2 linked regions of the Nothobranchius furzeri genome follow. The protein of the gene in region 1 purifies or fractionates together with the protein of each later gene. This does not show direct contact. Links are inferred from orthologs where the notes say so. Each region holds a gene or a part of one and is shown on either strand. Other genes may lie near its edges.

What was found. Proteins that work in one complex are often made in the same cells at the same time.
Region 2: the proteins of nufip2 (region 1) and lsm12b purify together in Homo sapiens (affinity purification with mass spectrometry; 3 studies listed by BioGRID and IntAct, counting the BioPlex papers as one, with this or other methods). This does not show direct contact. The link is inferred for Nothobranchius furzeri from reciprocal best matches to the Homo sapiens genes NUFIP2 and LSM12.

What each region holds. Positions count from the first base shown.
Region 1 is NC_091750.1:49,398,642-49,409,499, reverse strand, and holds nufip2 (FMR1-interacting protein NUFIP2), read right to left. Parts: upstream 5,794-10,858; 5' UTR 5,698-5,793; coding exon 5,550-5,697; intron 5,343-5,549; exon of another isoform or gene 5,207-5,342; intron 4,794-5,206; exon of another isoform or gene 4,658-4,793; intron 4,254-4,657; coding exon 2,622-4,253; intron 2,256-2,621; coding exon 2,223-2,255; intron 2,057-2,222; coding exon 2,004-2,056; 3' UTR 1,507-2,003; downstream 1-1,506. Other genes in the region: glycine receptor subunit alpha-2, read right to left, coding at 8,496-8,768, 8,852-8,947, 9,242-9,400, 9,483-9,697, 9,775-9,912, 9,998-10,080. UniProt on the Homo sapiens protein: Binds RNA.
Region 2 is NC_091756.1:47,420,150-47,431,096, reverse strand, and holds the start of lsm12b (protein LSM12 homolog A), read left to right. Parts: upstream 1-4,655; 5' UTR 4,656-4,808; coding exon 4,809-4,935; intron 4,936-6,963; coding exon 6,964-7,097; intron 7,098-10,413; coding exon 10,414-10,523; intron 10,524-10,848; coding exon 10,849-10,947. Other genes in the region: g6pc3 (glucose-6-phosphatase 3), read right to left, coding at 725-1,067, 1,143-1,284, 1,488-1,606, 1,710-1,800, 1,879-1,985, 2,860-3,077. UniProt on the Homo sapiens protein: Nicotinic acid adenine dinucleotide phosphate (NAADP) binding protein. Confers NAADP sensitivity to the two pore channel complex (TPCs) by acting as TPC accessory protein necessary for NAADP-evoked Ca(2+) release.

The DNA of each region.
Region 1 (10,858 bases):
CACACACAGGCTTTTTAACAACTAGAGCATCATGACAGCCTTTATAAAAACTTCAATAAAAGCTGTTGCACTTCCAACCTTTTGTGAACAGGCGGGTACGAACTGGGATAGAACCAAGTTAGCCCTCTGAAAGAAAAACCAACACACACACACACACACACACGAAAAGAAACCAGCAAAGATGGCGAGAACACGGTTAAAGATACAGAAAACATGTTGTGCTTTCTCAAAGAAAAGAAAACTATTTAGGCCAAAAAAAAAACTTTCATCCAAAGATTCTTTTTGGTGCGTTTTCCGAACGTCGTGCGTCTCCGACTCCGTGTTTCCAACAAGAGACCGTTACAGGACAGGGGCCGTTTGGCAAAACACAATAATCAGTATATCCATGGCTTATCGACACTACCTGAGTTTCGTTTAGTAATTCTGTGTTTAGCAACGTTTTTATGTTTTAAGTAACAGCGCAGAGCCATTCTTTCATAGATTTCTATAGCATTTAAGATAAAGGTCATCTGTTTACATAAAGTGCCAGTAATCCACACGTTAGCCAGATCAGAACAGAATTCAGGACCGTTTCTTGGAGAGGCTGAAAAATACGTATCCGCTCTTAAGGATTAAAACAATGTTGCCGCCAACCGGGAGGCAGTTGGGATAATTTGGGATCTCCAAGTTATTCCCTAGATTTAACGAGACCTGGAGACAAATAGAAGAGGAAGGAGCGAGGAAACTGTGCAACAAAGTGAGGATGCACTAAAAATAATAACCTAAACTAAACTGCAGGCTACACGAGCATCTCAGGACGTTTTGTAGCTCCGCATAACACATTTATGATGTTATTGCACACTAACAGGTTAATCCACAGCAAAAGGTTTGACACCACCCGTCTTCACATTTCAACACAAAGTGGCGAGCTGGGGACCCGAGGTTCATATTGCAATAGTTGTGTTACTGTTGTGATGAACAGTGACTCATTTACACCTGTAAACAAAAACGGTTTCCATAAACAAGAGCTGAAAACGAATGCGGACCAGATGAAGTGTTGAGAGATCCTGAGCGTTGCAGCTGAATTAGAAGCAGAGAATGGAGAACAGCTCAGAAGTGAGTGGTTCTTGTCCCGGGCCGTTCCGAAACCCAGAACCGGAATTTGACAACAGCCTGTGAATATCCGACGACCGTCTGTGTGAAATGTTTCAAAACTTCTGAATTTAACAGAGACCTGGTGGTGTCATAAGCACACCTGATGTTAAAGGGGCGGAGCTTTCCTTTAAACCCATCACTATCTGAGCTGGGTGGGGTGGGGGTGGCGGGTCATACAGCAAATTATATTCGGGTTAGTTCCGTTGAAAACAGCATAAAAAGGAGCGGTAATACATATAAAACTTCTGGGCTCTGCGTAGTTTCTCCTGTAAAGGATTTTTAAGACAAAGTTCTCCTTTTTCCTGCATGGAGCCTCACAGGCTTCCGTCTCAGCGGAACTCCCGACACCTTTATTCCACAACATAAAGGCTGTTTTTTTTTTTTTTTTACAGATCTTTCCTTCAGCATGAATTCAAGCTTGCACACGGAGGTGGAACGACTAACATATCTACAGTGAACTCATCTGAATGCATGAAGAACGAACATGACCGAGGCGTCCCGCAGCTGGGCCACAAAGCCGCCACAGTTCAACGGGATAAAGGCTTACGGAGGTGCGGTCAAGGACACCTTCCTTTGTCAAACCCAGAAAACTGTCCCATTAAAAGCCATGAGACAAGGACCACCACAGCTAGGAAGTTGCATTTGTCCATTTGTCAGAGTGGAGAGGCACCGATCGACTCGTCTTTAGCGTCCATCCAGAGTGTCCGTTGGTTTGATGCCCACCAAAAAATTAAAGTTTGAGTACGCCCGAGATTCCAAAGGAAATCATGCTTAGCTGTCAGTGTTTTCACAGTTGTCGCCACATCAAACATGATTTTTACTTTTTTTTGTTGTTTTCGTCGGCCCAGGTAGAAAACTGTAGATCTACCTCACTGATCAGGTCCATCCTTGGTCTCATCATAAACCACTACTCTTTTTGGATCTGCAGCAAAGAAGAAGAAAGGTTTGTCAACATCACATCCCTCCCACAGTCACGTGGGATTCATGACCGCGTCACTGAACAAAAACCACTAAAACCAATGACTAGTGATGCTGGGCACCCAAACACAAAGCAAGTTTTAAAGTCAAACTTAAAACGGTTTATTTACCTTGTTTTTGCACGTTAAAAATGGATTCCATTTCTGTTTGAGGGAGAAAAACGGAAATGTGTTAATTCAGCATCTCTGGTGTGTTCTCTGGTTTCCTCTAGTTAAAAACTTGGCAAGTTGACAAAATGTTCAAATGCAATTTTAAAAAAAAACCATCATGTTATAAAGTCATGCTTAAGTTTAAAACGTTGCTAGTTGAAGTTGGAGTTTAAAGGTCACTCGGGCTGTAAACCAACTTCTAGGAAATCTAACCAACACACTCGGCTGTCACACGAGGAAAGCTTGGAAAATAACAGCAAACTGGGGTTAGTTTAGTTGGCACACACACCAGTTATTACCCATTCACAGGACGCCATATTGTCACCAATATGTTTTACAGATAGAAGCGGACACCGTTACCTTTAGTGTGATAGGCGACAGCAGCTTTAATGTCAGAGGGCCCCCAGCTACACCTCCTGCTAGCGTCGTTCGGGTGGACCACTTCTTTAGAAGAGCCAAACAGCACAGTGGTCTGCTGGCCCTGAACAGGCTTAGCACCATTGTCTTTACAAAGAGCCGAGACAGAAGAACCTTTGATCTCAAACTTCGTTTTGTCCTGGCCAAATGGCGGGAACTTTGTCTCCTCCTCAAAAGCAGGAGAACGAGCGTTTGACGCTTGGCAAGGGGCACAAGTCCTTCTCTCAGAGTCTTTGAACAAAGTTCCAGGCTCTACAAATATTGGGCTAACATCAAAACACGGCAGGACCACCTTGTCTTCAACAGTCTGACTCTCACTTGGAGAAGTCCCAGAAGTCTGGTCCTCAGCAGGAGGATGCCCGTTTCCTCCCTCCAGCCCCAGGTTGGGCTCGTTGATGAAAGAGAGCCCCCACTGATTCTGGAAGATGTCTCCCAGGGCTTTCTGATTTGTCTTAGCAGCCGGTGGGTCGAGGTGACGAGCACTAGGGAGCACAGGTTGCATATTTAAAGGGTAGATTAACAGAGTACACTTTTTAAGCTCGTTAGCGTCTCCATCTACAGGACTTGTTGAGCTACAGTTACTTTCCAGAGAAGATGCTACATTCTCGCCACTTGGGACAGACAGGGCTGATTGAATACAACTAGCAGCAGGAACGAAGAAGGTGCCAGCAGACGGGCAGCCGTTTCCATTTCCAGAAACAGGACCATTAGTAAAGCTAGCTGAGGTGATAGTTTTCATAGCAGACATCGGGACTTGAGACAGTCTCATGGGAGGAGGAACCACTTCTCCACTTTGAGCTACTTTATTGAGGTTCTCTTTTACTTTACTTGCATAACTGATCTTAGGAACGATTTTAGCACTGCTATTGTCCACAGGAAATACGGGAGGGGGCTTGAACAAAGTCCACGGGTCCTCCTTTGAAGGAGAGGAGAGTTTGCCTTTGTGCCGTTCCTCTGTTTTCTTACCAAAGGTGCCAGCTGTTTTGCCATCGGAGTTTTTCCTTTGAGATTCCCCCACTGTAGTCTCGGGAACGACAGCTCGTTTGGCAGCAGACTGGGTAGATCTGCCTTTCTCAGTCGCCTCAGGATTCAAAGCCCCCAGCTCCTGTGTAGTGTTGCGGGGCTGCATGTCTCTCTCTTTTTCTTTTGTCACATTATCAGTGTTCTTGGCATTGTTACACCTGGTCTTGCGTTTCTTCGGAGTGGTGTACCCGCCTTCGGATCCGCTGCCATCATTGTCCCTGCTAGAATAGCCATTTGTAATGAAGCCACAATTTACGACACCGTTGTGAAGCAAAACAGAGTCTTTCTTATCCAAGCTCTGGAGGTCATCGTGAGTCAAATCCAGAGTCTTTTCCTTGTCATTTTTAAAGTCCATATTCTTCTTACGGTCCAGAAATTTGCTGCTCGCTTTTGGAGCAGGCGTGTAGAGCTTCTGCGCCCCTTTTTGCTTTAGACTGGCGTTGTGCGCATGTTTGTTACCATTGCCGTGGGAAGGAAGCGACATACCAACAGGATCAGACAGACGTAGATTCCTCTCTCCTTCCTCGTCGCCAACGTTTAATTTTTTATTGCCTAAAAAAAAAAGGAAAGAAAATAAGACGATGTGGAAATGATAGGACTCTACAGACACCACAAAATCTAACAACTATACGTTTATGGTTTGCAGTTTCTTGGAAAGTGATGTTTTAAGATTAGCCAAACACTTATTATGCTACAATTATCACAATGTATTAATGGCACACCGCATAGGAAAGGTGGATGGATACAGGAAGCACAGATTTACAGTGAAGCATCATGACTAGGCCTCTGAAGGCTCAGATTCGTGGGAAGTGCTGTGTCAACGTGGGACTTCCTACTCCACAGTGCTTCTCCACCCCAGTAACATTTATTGGCACAACACACCTCACATTCCTGTCACAGCCAAAACAATTAGTTTCATTTAGCAAATGTACATTTTACAGCGACTGTCAGCTTACGTTCGCTTAATGCTGACAGAGCCTGATCAGCTGCGTGGCTTCTCCAGACAACATTCAAAAGGGCCTGTCAAATGGCTAATGTCTGCTAATATCGCCTAGCTAGTAGCGGACAACGATAACACCACAGTACCGGTCGACAATGACGCGTAAAAAAACGTCCACCGTGTCGTTGTTGTCCATATTTTCCTAACTAGCCGGTTAGTGTTGCGTTAGCTAACTGTGATATTCTGACATGGCCGACCGGAAATGGCTGCACAGAACATTCCAGCGGAGCCGGCTCGGTTTCCTACACTGCACAGAGCTAACTGGAATAACATCAGTACAATTTAGGCCACTGTTACAGAAGAGTTGTTTTGTTTAGAATACAGAGGGACATAAGCGGTGTTTTAGAACATATTCAGCTACATAAGCCATTTAAAATTAGGCGGTGAAACCGGTGTTGTGCCGAAAAAAAGCGCCCCTGCCATCACTAGCACTCTTAGCGCAGAAAGCTAATCCCAAGGTATGTTCTTTTACCAATACACCGAGTAAAAGTTACAAATGACATACCTCCTCGTGTTTTTCTGGACCGCTGAGGACACAAGTATCTACATTTATATTAGAAAAATTAATAAAGGGTTCTTTTTTTCGGCACGGCACCGGCGCACAAGGTCAATCTGCGATCTGTCAAACCACCAGCAGCGACAACGCTCACGCAACGTCAGCAGATAGCGAGTATAATGTGTGGTTTCTCGTGTGACACTGGCTGACTATCTGTCTGATTAACCAGCTGCTCCGCCCGTCCTCAAAACTATTCGGGGCAGCAGCTAGGAGCTAGCTGGCTCCCAGTTACGTTAGCTAGCGAATGCTAGTCGGCTCATTGACATTAGCCGACTTTTCAGGGCGGCCCGACCTGTTTTCTTCGTCTGCGTTTCCTGATGCTGGCACTGGAAGTGGCTCTGATCATTTTTCAGACAAGCTGTGCGTTGAGTAGAGTTCCTGTCCTCCCCGTGGTGGTGGTAGTGCCTGTCTTGTGCCCGATCTTTGGGCTGTTCCTCCATTGAAGTGAAGAATGTCGGACGCGTTCCGCCTGTGTGTTATTAGCTCTCAGTCCAATCACTACCAGAGTCAAACGGAAGCTATTTGAAGCCTCTGTAAACGTCAGCAGTAAAATGTCTAAAAATGGCCCTGTTTTGGGTGGTCACTCCTCTGAAACCCACCTTTAGAATCAACTCCTAGGTGCTTAAAGAGTATTTCATAAGACTTTAAAATGTGCGCACACGTAGAAGTTTAGGATAACACGGGAGTGATTTCAAATTATATATATATATATATATATATATATATATATATATATATATATATATATATATATATATATATATATATATGGAGTGTGAAATAACGGGGTGGGGTTCGTGGAAGAGCCTAAATCATATGACCCGAGGCGCTGCCACGTCTCCAGCTAGTTGACACATTAGGGTCACAAGAGACCAGCCCCCTCCAAAAATGGAAAAGCAGTTAATTTATTTGCGTTATACAAAATTTTCTTGCTGCTGCCTAATGCATATATGATCAGCTTATTATAAGAAAAATTGACGTGTTTGTAAAATCATGCACATTTTTATTTTTACATGCTTTACCTGGCTGGAATCACACAGAGCCACATTTAAGGAATAAAAACACTGATTATTTGATAGACAGCATATCAATATTATTTATGTATTGCTTTGATTTATTCAACGGTAATTATGAAATAATAATAATAATAATAATAATTATTATTATTATTATTATTATTATTATTATTATTATATTTTTGTTGTCTTGTGGTAGTTGTAATAATTAAATAGTCGCGCCAGTGACTCCCTCTAGCGGCTAAACATATAATTTTCTAATCTCGCTTTAGAGCAGGAAAGGAAACACAAGGACAAATGAATCACCTAACTTCACCATTGTCTCTGGACTCAGAATAAAACCCACACGTATATAATTTAGCTCTACCATTTCTTTCTTTTTTCAACATGTCTCAACTGATGTCTGAAAACTGTGAAAGTTAAGTATCTATAGTAAAATAGACCACGCCTGTTTTAGCCTGACACTTTTTGCTGATATGTGCAGCCCTACTTCACCTTTAAAATGTGCACGTGACTGCTACTTTGACATAAAATATTCATATGACTGCTTCATTTAAAGGCAGGTTTTATTTTTTAAACGACAGGTTTTAGTGAAAGGGTTCTCTCCAGGGCACAGACATGCAGTATCTTTAAAATAAAAACGGTGTTCTGGCAGATATCGAGGGGTTTAAGATGCATTTTCTGCTGTGATATTTTTATTAACTCAGAGAAAAAGTTTTAGTGAAATTTTAGATTAGAAAGGAATTCATGGAAGTGTGGATTTAGTGTAAAGCACCTAAAAAGCATGTTAATATTTCTGACTAACAGCTTATTCTGACTGAAAATTAAAACATTAAAAGTACTAAAGCATTCGTATTTATTTTAATCCATTTCTTAGTTTTAGATGTATCAACAAATTTTAGGGAAGTAATTTGTTTAGCACTTTAAGTTTCACACAAAAAAAGGAATTAGATTTTTTTTTGTATCCTTTATTTATTTTCAGCAGTTAGGTTGTAATGAAATGTAAATTTGGTAAAACGTTACAATAAGGATCCATTTATTAAGTTACGTAGTGCATTATTAAGCTTTAATAAACTATTATTCAAAGTATTACAGCTTTAACCATATTATGTAATGCACTACTAAGCAGTCAGCCTCTAAGAAATGATAAAGAAATAATGTGTGGATAAAATAAAAATGCAAGTTTGAAGTCAGTCACCTTACTACCAGTCTTACTCCACCCACACTTCCTGTTATAATAATAATAATAATAATAATAATAATAATAATAATGCATTGAACTTATATAGCGCTTTTCAAAACCCCCAAAGACGCTTTCACACACTCTCACATTCACACACTGCTAGTGATGGTAAGCTACTTGTAGCCACAGCCGCCCTGGGGAGGTCTGACAGAGGCGAGGCTGCCATTTGGCGCCGTCGGCCCCTCTGACCACCACTAACGCTCTAAACTCCTTTTTAGCTCTAAACAAAGTTTGAGGAGAAAAACGGCTTTTTGGATTGTAAATGTTGCAGACTCCTACTCTAGATGGTTGTGCAACTGATTCTTTTTGGACCGTGATAGTGGACCTGTTGCAGCAGACAGGCACCATAGCCTTAAGGAGACGTTGGTTCCTCAGCAGAACCTCTCAGAACCTGTGATATGGGTCCAAGCTGCCTCTGCAGCGTCCTCCTTGTGATGAATCAGGACAGCAGTCAATCAACATCTTTCCTTTGGCTTTTCAACCTACTTCAGGGCTCACTGTCTTTTCAAAATAAAAGACATTCTGAAGATCCACTGTTATTTCAGACTTTATTATTTAATTTTTCTTGGATAATTTCTGTAAGATAAAATATTAATGTCTTAAAAATATAGATATATTCACTCCTAGAGTTATGCAGTAGAAATGTCAAGCCTGTAAATAAAAGTGTGACAACAACACAGCAGTAAGTGCAGCTCAGTGATATCTGTTATGTCTCAGTGATGTGTTTGGAACCATGACATTTAGGAGAATAACTGTTTGTTTCAGTTGGAATATAAGGATTTGATCGTTTCTGACTCACTGTAAATTTTAAAAAGTGCACGTCTGGCAGAAATAAAATGGAAAACAAACCATCAGAGTTGCATAAAAGCCAGATTTTTGCAGTGGCATCCTGCATGCAGTCAAAATGCATCTTATCTAGGGACGTTCAGTCTGTCAGTTTCAGTGAAGAGAAGTCGTGTCTGCCGTCCTCGGGGTGTCTTCACAGTGTGAGCTGGACATCCTCGTGTCGTAGAACCTTGTAGGTGAGCCAGTAGAGGACATTAAACATGAGGAAGCTCATGGGGAAAAGAGCTCTGGAGATGGTGTCGATCCTTTTTGCCCGTTCCACGAAGCGTCGCCGGATTTCATAAAAACCTAAACCAGGAGGTAAGTCGGCAAAGACCGGGGTTGCATCCATCTCTGGTGCAGTTCCTGCTGACAGAGCGAGTCCAATGCTCTGGAAGAGAAAACCCTGATGGGCCAGCTCCTCCTCCTGGAAAACACAACCAGACTTACTGAGACCCAGTTTGGGGTTTGACCACCTGCTGTTTGGTTGAACGGCGAGACGGCACACACCCTGGCACAGGCGCTGCAACGCTGGCTCACACTCCCATGATACGGAGTATTCCCTGGCGTGTTATTTCCCTTCACCTTACTGTCACTGCTGCCCTGCTAATAGAGAAGAGAATACACAACTTTTAATAATAAACAGATGCTTTATTTAGGAAATAATTTTTCCTAGATGGTAGACTCAGCCCACTTCTGCTCCCCTTTGTTCTCTAATATCCGACACAAGAACGTTTACCAACAGTGAAGTGAGGTGACTTGCATTAACCACAGGCCACTGCTGGCTGCCTTTCCCAGTCGGAGCGCAGCATGCAGCTGAACTGTTGCTCCTGCATAGCTGGGTGCAGGCAATAGCAGGTGACAGCTGCCCGAGGGCCTGAGTGGGTGGCTTGTACTCACAGTCCTCAGCCTTTGCTGCTCTTTGAGCTTCTTCCTCAGTCGGAAGAACTCCTTGTGCTGCCGTGAAACAAAGTTAACAGCTGCATACTCTAGCAGCGCCGCAAACACGAAAAGAAGACACACTGCCATCCAGATGTCTATGGCTTTGACGTAGGACACCTACAGAAGCAGAAAAATAATGTGTTTAGGAGGGTAAACTCTGTAAGGGTAGTTCTGTAGAATGTTAAATAAATAGTCCGACCTTCGGCAGTGAGGCCCTTGAGCCTGAGCTCTGCGTCGTCATTGTGAGCACAGTGGTGATCCCTAACCCCACTCTGGCCGGAGCGGCGTCCATGTTGATCCAGAAGGACACCCAGGACAGGATGACGGTGAGCAGGCTAGGTATGTACATCTGGATCAGGTAGTAACCCATTTGGCGCTCCAGGTAGAATTTGACCTCGATGCAGGTGAATTTGCCTGAAGACAGGAGGACAGTGTCAGCAGATGCTGACAAACCCAGAGTTTAGGACATCGTCCGGCTCCGTGTCACATACCTGTGTTGTAGTATTTGGTGCAGTAGCCAAGACCTTTCTCCTCTTTCAGCACAAACTGCGGGAGCATCAGGTCATCAGCCACCTGCACTGCTCCAACATCCAGCCACTCAAAGATGAGGTCATTCATCGTGTATCCAACTAGAGGTGGATAAAGGTGCACAAAGAGCAGCATGTTCACTGACAAAGTTTGTGTCCTTCTTATGGCTTTAGAAGATGAACTCACAACTCTCCAGCTGCATAGTACACATCTGGCTGTCCATGGGGAAGTTCTTCAGGTCCATCGGACAAGAAAGAGTGAGAGTCAGCCTGAAGGACAGAGACAGCAGTTATTGTGTCCTCATGTGAGTGTTTTCATCCAGGGTCAAAGGTTACATTTAAAGTAGACCTGTTACGACGTTTTAACAAACATATTGGCTCCATGACCTACATAAAATGTGTTTGTGAAGTTCTTTGCTCAAAAACCTCTCTCACATAAAGCAGTTTCATTAGTTTATTCTTGGCAGTTTCAGTGCCTTCCAGAATGAGCCGTTTCAGAGCTCTGTCACTTTAGGAAAAGAAGTCAGAGCTGGCCAATCCCATAATAATGCCCAAAATGGACCGACTGGTTGTCCCCGTCCTTTTGCGTAACCAGGTTCGGGTCAACCATTGAGAACTCTGGCTCCAACATTCTTCTTTGTTATTTTCTTCTTATCCAGCAAGGGCATCAGAGGTAGCTCAGGTTAGCATTAGCAGTAGCTCAGGCTGCAGTTGGCATTATCATGACTAACGTTGGTACAGGCAATGTCACAGTGGGTTGGATGTTAAACCAACTTTCTCAGAGCAAACTGTTTCTCCATGGCCATTACAGCATTTCTAATTTACATGGGAAAGCAGGTTTGAGACAACAGAGGCTTTTCTCATGGTACATTAAACACCACAAAGTTCCCTATATTAAACAACAATAACGTGCATGTGGTTTTAAAGGTAGATTACTCATTTAATAATACATTTGCAGTGGTCTCAAGTGGGAATGAAAGCCTTGCAGGCAGAACTCAGGGCACAGAGAGCTCACAAACCCATGGGCCAGCAGGACCAAGTCTGCAAC
Region 2 (10,947 bases), on another chromosome or scaffold:
AGCATTGCTTCTGCCTATTCCTTTTTTGGTTTAAATTCAAGTTGTTAATATTGTTGTTTTGTTTGAAAAGGAAAAATTTTACATTAATGCTACAAACCAAAATAAAGACCAAAGAAAGAAGAACATGGACATGTCCAATAGAAGCTGTCAAATCACCAGAGTCCACCTTGGACCATCTGAAACATCTGACCTGGAGCAGGGTGGGCAGAGGACCCTGGAGCAGCACGTCCAACAAGAGCAGTGACACTGGTTATGAAGACAAACTTAGTCTCCAAGAGGACATCACCTATGCCTTCAGGAAATTGAAGCTTACCCGCTCCGTTGATTCCTCTTTTTTATTTTCTTTTTTGTCTCATTCGTGGTTGGAGCTTTTGTTTGACGTTTGGTGTCACATTTCTTTGATTCTTACATCAGACAGTCTCTCACTGGGTACTTATTTTGTTGGATAAACATTAAAGCTCCACATTTGCCACAATCTATAGATACAAGCTGGAGAATAAAAGTTCTGCTTAGTTTTTATCACAATATTTGTACATCATCTGCAAATTGGCAGAGTGTGAAAGGAAAATCCCAAAAGCTAAAGCTTTTTGTACAAAAATAAAACATTAGGCCATAGACTGAACCAGCAAAACCTCTGGGACATGAAAAACACTAAAACCCACCAGAGTATCTTCTGGATCCCAGATGAAATCTTTAAGGAAAAGAAACTTTTAGAAGTTCACCTCTAGTCTTGTTTCTTTTTGCGTGTGAATAAGTGAACCAAACCAGGAACAAACACCATGACAATCTGAGGAACCAGAACGAATTTGATGAAGAACAAGCCGTAGAAGAGGCCTTGTGGTTGGACGGGCAGAGGCAGACGGTTCACGTGGTAAAGTCCCATGGATGAAAAAGCCAGCGACAAAGCTCTTGGAGCCCACGGGAGGGACCAGCCATTAGGCTTCCAGTACTCAGCCAGACCCAGACCCAGAAGAGCCCCACAGTCTCGAGTCAAAGAGGAGAACGGGGCTGTGTCCAGACGGATCCACTCTGCGTGACTGCACCACTTCTTAGCCAAAGCAATAGACCTGTTTTAAAAAGTCTGTTCAGCGGGATAGCTCTCATTAAAGCACGAAGATTACTATAAAGAAAACAAGACTCACCAAGAGAGGTCAATTCCAATCTGCTGCAATCCCACATTGACCATCAGAGCACTGAGCAGGAGGCTGAAGCTGAAGCTGAAGTAGAACAGCAGGGGGCGACCTTCTGGTACTCTACCACTCAGGACAATACCCAAAATAAACCCTGGCAGCAATCAGATGTAAAAGACACATTACTGACTTTGTACTCCTCAGACACAAATAGCTTCAATGAAATCATACTATAAAGAACAACATCTGCAAAGTGTCTGTTAATGCTTTTGGGTTTATTTGGCAGAAAGGAATACAATACCACAGCCAAAAGCCATCTATGTGCTCACTTATATGAAGATGACGATGCACACAGACCTGTAATGCAACCAGCAATAACCTGGTGAGGAAAATGAGCAAGGATGAAGATCCTGGATGTTCCAACTGCAACCAGCAGAGCCACATAAAGCAGGAAGGGAGCAGACGATATCAGCACACTGAAGGCAACAGGCCAGGGATACTTGTTAAAAACATCTCTAATATTCCACAGTTCCTGCCTGTTTTACAGCCAAAACAACACACTTGCTTTACTTTATTTACCTGCGAGTACGGGAGTACAGAAATGACCCCAGCGAGGATGCAACAACCCACCAGACTGCTGCTGTCACCATTGCATGTCCTGATGGACTTCCTGAGAGACAGACGCCAACTTTTCATGAGTGCCATCTGTGACTCATATGTGTCTCGTTTGTCTTGAAGGACCTCTCACCTGGGCCGGTTTCACAGGTGGATGGGAACTGGTGAATTCTGGGTGGCATGCTGACATATAAATGAGATTCACCTATCCACCAGAATGGTCTTTCCCCAAACAGCATCCTGGAAAAGTAAAAGGACACAAAGTACTATAAATATGTCTGTTGATCTTGTTCAAAAATACAATTAATTCCATTTTACAATGTTCAAAACCTAAAGAACTCTGCGTGAAAATATATTAAATTCTTATTTCATTTTAAATCTATTATCAGAAGATACGTATAAATGTTTGTGACTAAGATTGAAAGGAACTGGTTACATTACTCAGTTACATTTGCTTGAGTAAATTTCTTTTTACATTACTATTTCTAGAAGTTTATCAATATATACGTTTTCATGAGTAACATTATTACGTACCGCTACTCTTACTTGAGTAGCTCTAGTTACCCAGAAATGCAGAACACATGCACGCAGGCACGCAGGCACGCACGCACACACGCACACACACACACACACACACAGGGATTTAAATCTACTGAGCCTATATTACCTGCTGAAGGTCAGGTGAGTCCGCAGTAAATAGTATACACGTTATCTAGTGGAAGAATTGGTTTCTAAAGCTTTGTGAATAACAACAATAAGAAACGAGTTTCTTCTGCCTTAATTTGTTATTTTATAATTTCACAATTTATTTTGAATTATTTATGTTTGTTTTTCGAGCCACACAATTTTGCCTGAAAAGAACGGCAAATAATTGTAATTTTGCTCGATGTGTGTTAAAACGTTCCGCTTTTCCTGGTTTCACCACGGACAACATAAACAATAGGACTGCAGTGTTGTCCCTGATGCCGCAACGTCTAACAAATCCCAAAAATTTCAAAATAGAAGCTGATAAATTATATATTGAGACAAATATAATTGATTCACATATAGCACTAACACAAGCATGCGCTAACGTGTTGAAACTTTCCACGACAATTGATTTTTTAAGCCTTACCATTTAAACACCAGGTTTAACCACTCCGATATAGCTGCGATCCAGAGCACCGCCACTCCAGCGCGTTTATCTAGAAAATACGTGAATGGAAAGACGAGCAGGAAGGCTGCTTTAGGGTCTCCTAAGTGAGTGATCACGAGCCAACATTGTTCGAGACTCTTTGTCTGTTGCTGGAGAGTTTCAGCGACCCAAATGCCCTGTGTGTAGACGGACTCCATTTTAACGAACCCCCTCTAAAGTATCTAAAAGCAGTTGAACCTCAAAACATGTAGCTAATTGTCGGATGATGAAATCTAGGATGAGATGCTGAAAATGTTGCACTACTAGTTTATTTCCAGCAGGAGGAGCTGTTTTACGTTGGGTTTCTTTCTTTCGTGGAACCGAGCGTTACGTCGAGATATGTCACTCAGTGTTCCAATATTAGTTCTAAGTAGATAGAAGATAAAATATGTTATTTTAAAAATTTAAGACCAGAAAATTTTATAATTCATTCATGTAAACCTGAAGTGAATGTGGTATTTCAAGAAATATTTAAAGATTTTACAACTAAATTCTTCATATTCGGAGGCTCCTATTAAGACAAAAGAAAGGATTTTATTAAACAACCTGACTGTGTATTTAAATAACACTATGCATAAAAAATCATAATAGAACAATTGAAGTAATAAAAAGATGGCCTCATGTCAAGATAGGTTGACAACAATAGGATATTTATATGAATCTTTCTGGGAAGATCTAATCACATTTATTTGAGGTGAAAATTTGAACATAGAAAGATTCATTAACATTTAATAAAGCAAGACCCTTACCCTAATCCATCCATTTTCCTCCGCTGATCCAGGGTTGGGTCACAATTGGGCCAGTTCCTCTGGGGGAATCCCAAAGAATTCCCTGGACAGACAAGAAATCAGTTATCAAGTTGAACATGCCTGGAAACCCTCACCAGGGAGGTGTCCAGGAGGCATCCTAACAAGATGTCTGAGCCACTTCACCTCGATGAGGAGGAGCAGCGGATCTACTCCAAGCCCCACCCTGTTGTCCTGGGGGGAATTGCTTAGCAAGATTCCCCAGGAGACAGAGAAGTCTGAAGGCAAAACAACAATGATGTTGTGAACCTGGGTGTCTGTGTGTATTTGTTAGCGGCTCCGCCCTCTTGGTCTGCCAGGCAACAGCAACAGGAAGAGGGAGTAGAGTAAGACTCTGGTAGGGGGCGACTTGCCCTTTAATTATTATTCATCATCAAATGTTTCCTTATTACTAGAAATATTAGTTTGAGGTAAAACTTAACTATGAGGAACAAAGCTGTGCTTATCCTTAGAATAATTAATCAGCGCCAACAACATTTGAAAACAGTTTGATGAACACATTTTCCCTTTTATCCACATTTTTTATTGAAAGTAATTAGTACATTTTTGCACATTTACAAAAAAGAATATATGTAGATACAGTTTTGATTCCTTTTGTATTTTCCACATAATAAAATAGTTAATAAGGGAGGGAGCTGGGGGGGAACTTGTTGGAGTTAACATACTAGGTCCCAGAAAAATGATTTACATAACAAAACTTTGTAACAAATTAACATACATTATGAATTATTCCTGAAACCAGACATAATTAGATGCGTGTTTAGGATGTTGTTTTACTGCTGCTGTGGTATGGTCAAATCAGGGAAGTGACGCATTAGTCAGTGTTCGCTGTAAACCTTTGCTCTAAATGACTGATGTGTTTTGTTTTAAATAACGCCTCTTTCTTTAAATCTGTATGATCCGTAAATCGCCTGACGTACTGTGTGGGGTAAGGGTAATATATTCAAAGAACATTTGAGGTAAAGTATGCGTAATATTTGTCAATGACCTTAACTCGGCGTACGAGGGCACGCCCAGATTCGTCTTCCTACGCCACCACGTTGCTTTACGTAAGGCAGGCGCTCCGGTTTCCTGGCGGAGAAGATGGCGGCTCCTGGACCGGGGGAGTATTTCAGCGTCGGGAGCCATGTCTCCTGCCTCACCTGCTTGGGCCAACGGCTACAAGGAGAAGTGGTCGCTTTTGATTACCAGTCCAAGATGTTAACCCTGAGTATCCTTTGTTTGTTTCTCGCTGCGGACGGATGGCTGGCTGGCCTGCCTGGCTGCACAGGCCTGTAGGGTAACCGAAAATATGTCAAATAGTGATCCGCGCAGGCGTAATTGGTGGGAGCTGAGTTACACATCTTTGTCCGTTTTAAGTTATTTCATTTTCCGAAGTAGTTGTCCATTTTTTTGTGAAATTAAGTCATCATTTGCGTTTTCTTGGTGTTTTAATGCGCCTGCTCGGACGTACATGTGTTTTGAATCCACTCATTGTATTGGCAGCTCTCGACATGGATCACTATTTGGCATCATGGCTGTGTGCTCTCAACAGTTAGCAGGCTAACTGACATTCAGCGCATCTCGCTCTGACTTGTGTCCGCACGTGTATCTCACACAGTCTTCACCCACAGATGCCAGCGCTCGCTTTAATGAGTTCGTTTTATTTTCTACGACACCCATCGGAGCTACAGGGGAAGGGCTGCTAGCTCGGCTAACATGCTAACTTTCGTACAAACCATTCCACCCATATTCTGCTCGGAAGCTATGTTAACGCTAGTACGCATCTAAGGTGTGTTAGCCTGTTTTTATTGCGAGTTTATCACGATTTTATTTTCTTGTGACACAAATTAATTACAGCTAATCACGATTCATTTGGGTTAGCATGCTGAGCTGATCACAACTAACCTTAGCTTGTCTGTGAGCATGCTTCCATCCCTTCATGGGAGGAGGATATAGGTGTATGATAAAATGTAGTCATTTGATTAGAGGCTAATTTAAAATTAAAATAATACGCTAAACTTCTGGTGTAGTGACAGTCTACGTGACCGAACTGGCATATGACTCAAGAGGGTTAAAAAAAGAATGAATGGGTTTGACAGTGAGGGCGTTCTGTGTCTAAAACATAACTACGTCACTCATTTAATGTATAATTTCCCCCAAGCAAAATTGGATGTATGATTTTTCTAAATTAAAGGCTTCAAAATGTTTCTAGCTATAAAAAGATGATTGAAATCTTTAAGTATCTGTTGGAAGTGGGGATGTTTGAACAGATGGACCCAAGTTCTGCTCTGAGGTCTGGCAAAACTGGACCTTCTGTAATTTTCACAGGTTATAGCGTCACCAGGTAACTTGTGAATATATTTACATACAATACAGTTCCATCTGTTGATTTCATCATAAAGTACTAAATGTACTAAAACATGTTTTGACACTTCTCATAAAGGTTCCCATTTGGATGTTCATAATTTAGACCGGTAGTGACATTTAAATGGTTTTAGTGAATCTGTCAGCATTTTTGTGACAAATTCAGTACAGTGAAACTACAAACATGATGTTAAAAGCTAATTGTGTTTTTGGTGTTCATGTCAAATGTCCAGATTTTCTCTATTGTGGGTCAGTGTGCCAAAAATATCGTGGAATAAACCCCAAAAAGAGACTTGTTTTAGAAACTTCCTGACAATCTTGCCTCTTGTTAACCAAAGTGAAAGAAAGGATCATGTGTTGAAACTGTCGATGCTTTTCTGTTTCCACTTTCAATATGTTCTCGTGTTTGTTTGCTTCTATCGGCATCCCCTAAATACTTCGGCTTGCCATACAGCCGTTCATTCCAGGGTGAAATGCATCAGGATTTAAATGTGCATTTAGATTAAAACCCTCAGTTTGAATAAATAAATGAGTATTTTATCAGTGGAATTAGATTTTAAGATGAGTGATTTGTTGGAAACATTCCAACAGAAAAACAGATTCAACACGCTGCAAGTTTAATCAAATATTAATCTGAGAAAGAAGACATTTGTGGCTGTGTGCAGGCTGTCTAATTCCTATTCCTTCATTCATGTGTTGCTGCTGTAGGTGGCAGCACTGCCCTCAGCAGTCACACGCTGTAACTGGCACCACCTTTCACTGTCTGGTTATCAGCCACAGCTCCTATCAGAATGCAGATGGTGTTCGAGTTCCTCGGGGTCAGATAACAATAGTAATTTTGTTCTTCAAGTCAGTGTCGTGAAATTTTCTGCCTTAACTTGTGTCTTTAAAGAATGCGCTTCCTCCAGTGGTAAGTCAAACCTCAACGACGTCATCCTGATCAACTTAGCCTATGTATCTGAAGTGGACATAATAAATGACCGGACTGAGACTCCACCTCCACTAGCATCTCTGAATGTTGGCAAGGTGAGTTTGTCTCATTTCTGCTGCTTTTGCCATTAGAACAATGTTGTGATACATTTGAACTCAACGTTCAGCTGTGATGTGTCACAAACAGGATCCATCGATTCTAAGATCCTTATTTATTCTAACTTCAAAAGCCCGTACAGCGTGGCTCTTGTACGTTTGTGGTGCATTTAAATGGACAAAGTGGCACATATCCTGCCCCTCATTAACATAAAGGTGAGGTCTGGGTTTGTAAGGTGCGACTGGCGCAGATGTGTGACCTCAGAAAACCACTACACAGATAAATGTGTTTATTTTCCTTTGAAAGGTGCCTCATTTTAACAGTATCACAAAAATTTCTAACAATTCTCTTGAAATGCTTTATTATATTGGTCCGATTATAATATCGTTTTGGTTAGCCTATAGCAAAGGGAATGCTGCATGTTCCTGTAGCTGTGACAACATACCTAAATGATCTTACGGTGCACTTTGGTGATTTTCTACGGCAACTGTTCCCAAGCTTTTCAGCTTCAAACTAATAAAGTACAAAAGCCTACAGACATCTCTGATTAAAAATAAATAAAATTGGCAAAAAGAAAACCACTTTAGCTCCATTCCCTTATATACATTTTCGACAAATTGGTTGTCTTTTTAACAATTACGCTAGAAATGTAGCTTCAGCAGTTGTTTTTGTTTATTGGAAATCATCTCAAGGCCTCCTGTGTGGTTATGGACCAACAGAGGGGTCCTGACTAGAGGTCGACCGATATTTGTTTTATAATTGAATTAATGTGAATTTTAATTTATTCAGTCAAAAAAAACATAATATATTCAATAAAACATTACATTACATTTAACGTGACTAAAAAGGCTCAGGCCAAAGCAAAAATGCTTATATTTATGCCTGTCCTTTTTAACCAATTAAACAAATGAATCTACCCCTTTAACACAAATCTACAATTTAAGCAACATTAGAAAAGAATAAGAGAAATATACACCATTTAGTCAAATAAGTTCACACAATACTCTTACATTTACAACACAACTTATAAACTCTTGAAACCGTCAAAAATGATCTTCAAAACCATTCTTTTAAACAACAAAAATGTACCACAAGTTCTTACATTTACACTGGCATTCTATAGTTTAGCCCCCACCACAGATATACATTTCCTTTTTGACTTCTTTTTTTGCCAAAGGAACAGTAAATTTATTAATATCGCTAAAATCATACTTAGTTTCTACACAAAAAAAACTTGATTGCTTTGTGGAAGTAACTTTAATTTAGTTTTATACATTATTTGCATTATTTTATGTTATACTAAATCATAAAATTTCATAACGTGATTTTAAATACAACAGATGTGTATGTGCCAAATAATCTGCCTTGTTGATAATACACATTGCACGTTTTTGTAAGAACTATTGAACTAACTAACGTTTGATTAGTCAGTCCCCAGACTTCTCTACACACTATGAAATGTAAGGTGGTAGGAGTGAACAATAAATGATATGTAAAGCTGCATAATTCAACATATGTCTTGATTTGTACAGTACTGCTACAGGGAGTGCAGAATTTTTAAGCAAGTTGTATTTTTGAGGAATAATTTTATTATTGAACAACAACCATGTTCTCAATGAACCCAAAAAGCTCATTAATATCAAAGCAGAATGTTTTTGGAAGTAGTTTTTAGTTTTAGCTATTTTAGGGGGATATCTGTGTGTGCAGGTGACTATTACTGTGTATAATTATTAGGCAACTTAACAAAAAACAAATGTATACCCATTTCAATAAATTTTTACTAGTGAAACCAATATAACATCCCCACATTCACAAGTATACATTTCTGACATTCCAAAACAATACAAAAACAAATCAGCGACCAATATAGCCACCTTTCTTTGCAAGGACACTCAAAAGCCTGCCATCCATGGATTCTGTCAGTGTTTTGATCTGTTCACCATCAACATTGCGTGCAGCAGCAACCACAGCCTCCCAGACACTGTTCAGAGAGGTGTACCGTTTTCCCTCCTTGTAAATCTCACATTTGATGATGGACCACAGGTTCTCAATGGGGTTCAGATCAGGTGAACAAGGAGGCCATGTCAGTAGTTTTTCTTCTTTTATACCCTGTCTTGCCAGCCACGCTGTGGAGTACTTGGACGCGAGTGATGGAGCATTGTCCTGCATGAAAATCATGTTTTTCTTGAAGGATGCAGACTTCTTCCTGTACCACTGCTTGAAGAAGGTGTCTTCCAGAAACTGGCAGTAGGACTGGGAGTTGAGCTCGACTCCATCCTCAACCTGAAAAGGCCCCACAAGCTCATCTTTGATGATACCAGCCCAAACTAGTACTCCACCTCCACCTTGCTGGCGTCTGAGTCGGACTGGAGCTCTCTGCCCTTTACCAATCCAGCCCCGGGCCCATCCATCTGGCCCATCAAGACTCACTCTCATTTCATCAGTCCATAAAACCTTAGAAAAATCAGTCTTGAGATATTTCTTGGCCCAGTCTTGAAGTTTCAGCTTGTGTGTCTTGTTCAGTGGTGGTCGTCTTTCAGCCTTTCTTACCTTGGCCATGTCTCTGAGTATTGCACACCTTGTGCTTTTGGGCACTCCAGTGATGTTGCAGCTCTGAAATATGGCCAAACTGGAGGCAAGTGGCATCTTGGCAGCTGCACGCTTGACTTTTCTCAGTTCATGGGCAGTTATTTGGCACCTTGGTTTTTCCACACGCTTCTTGCGACCCTGTTGACTATTTTGAATGAAACACTTGATTGTTCGATGATCACGCTTCAGAAGCTTTGCAGTTTTAAGACTGCTGTATCCCTTTGCAAGGTATCTCACTATTTTTGACTTTTCTGAGCCTTTCAAGTCCTTCTTTTGACCCATTTTGCCAAAGGACAGGAAGTTGCCTAATAATTCTGCACTCCCTGTATAATCTTAAAGTTTTCCTTTAGTGTAAAACACATGCTGTCTCCATTTCATTTTATGCTCAATAAACATTTTTATTGTCGATGCCGATAGACACGGTCAACCGATGGCCGATATGTACTGCTTAGGGATGCACGTTTTCCAAAGTTTCTTTAACCGGTTATTGATGCCCCATAACAGTTAATTGCCGGTTAACCGGATGTAAATTAACGTAATGTGTAAATGTTAACTGGTGTCAAAGTCAAATTGCAGTCCAGAGTTCAGTGTCTCCTGGAGTCCTCGACACAAAAGCATCCCAAACATAAATTATGTCAATGCTGAAAACATTTTTCTGGTTTAAGGCTGTCCGAGTAAAATCAATGTAAGAAGAATGTTTTTGTTGTTCTGTTCATGTTTCCACAGCTTGCCAATCGAGCACGGACAGAAAAGGAAGACAAGCTGTCCCAAGCCTATGCAATCAGTGCTGGGGTTTCTCTGGAGGGCCAGCAGCTATTCCAGACTATTCACAAAACGTAAGAGCGTCCCACAGGCTTTGGTCAGACCACTCACATCAGCTGGGTCATGTGTCCACTTCAGTCATTCTAATATAAACTTGTGTTCCATCACTTTGTGAATCCCGTAGTTTACTGTTGTCATAAAAGTTTTACCTAAAAGGTTGTTTTGAATCCATTTGGTCTATTTTCTAAATGATGTGAAACAGTTTTATTTTGAAGTCCTGGTTTTCCAACACTCACCCCCACATCAGAGGTCAGGTCTTACTTAAAGCTGTTTTATAAGAAACAATGTGACTGTAGATCATCCAAGTCCAAATAAGGCCATGCTGCTTTCTCTTTGCAGCATCAAAGACTGTAAATGGCAGGAGAAGAACATTATTGTGATGGACGATGTCGTTATCTCACCGCCTTACCAGGTTGAGAACTGCAGAGGCAAAGAGGG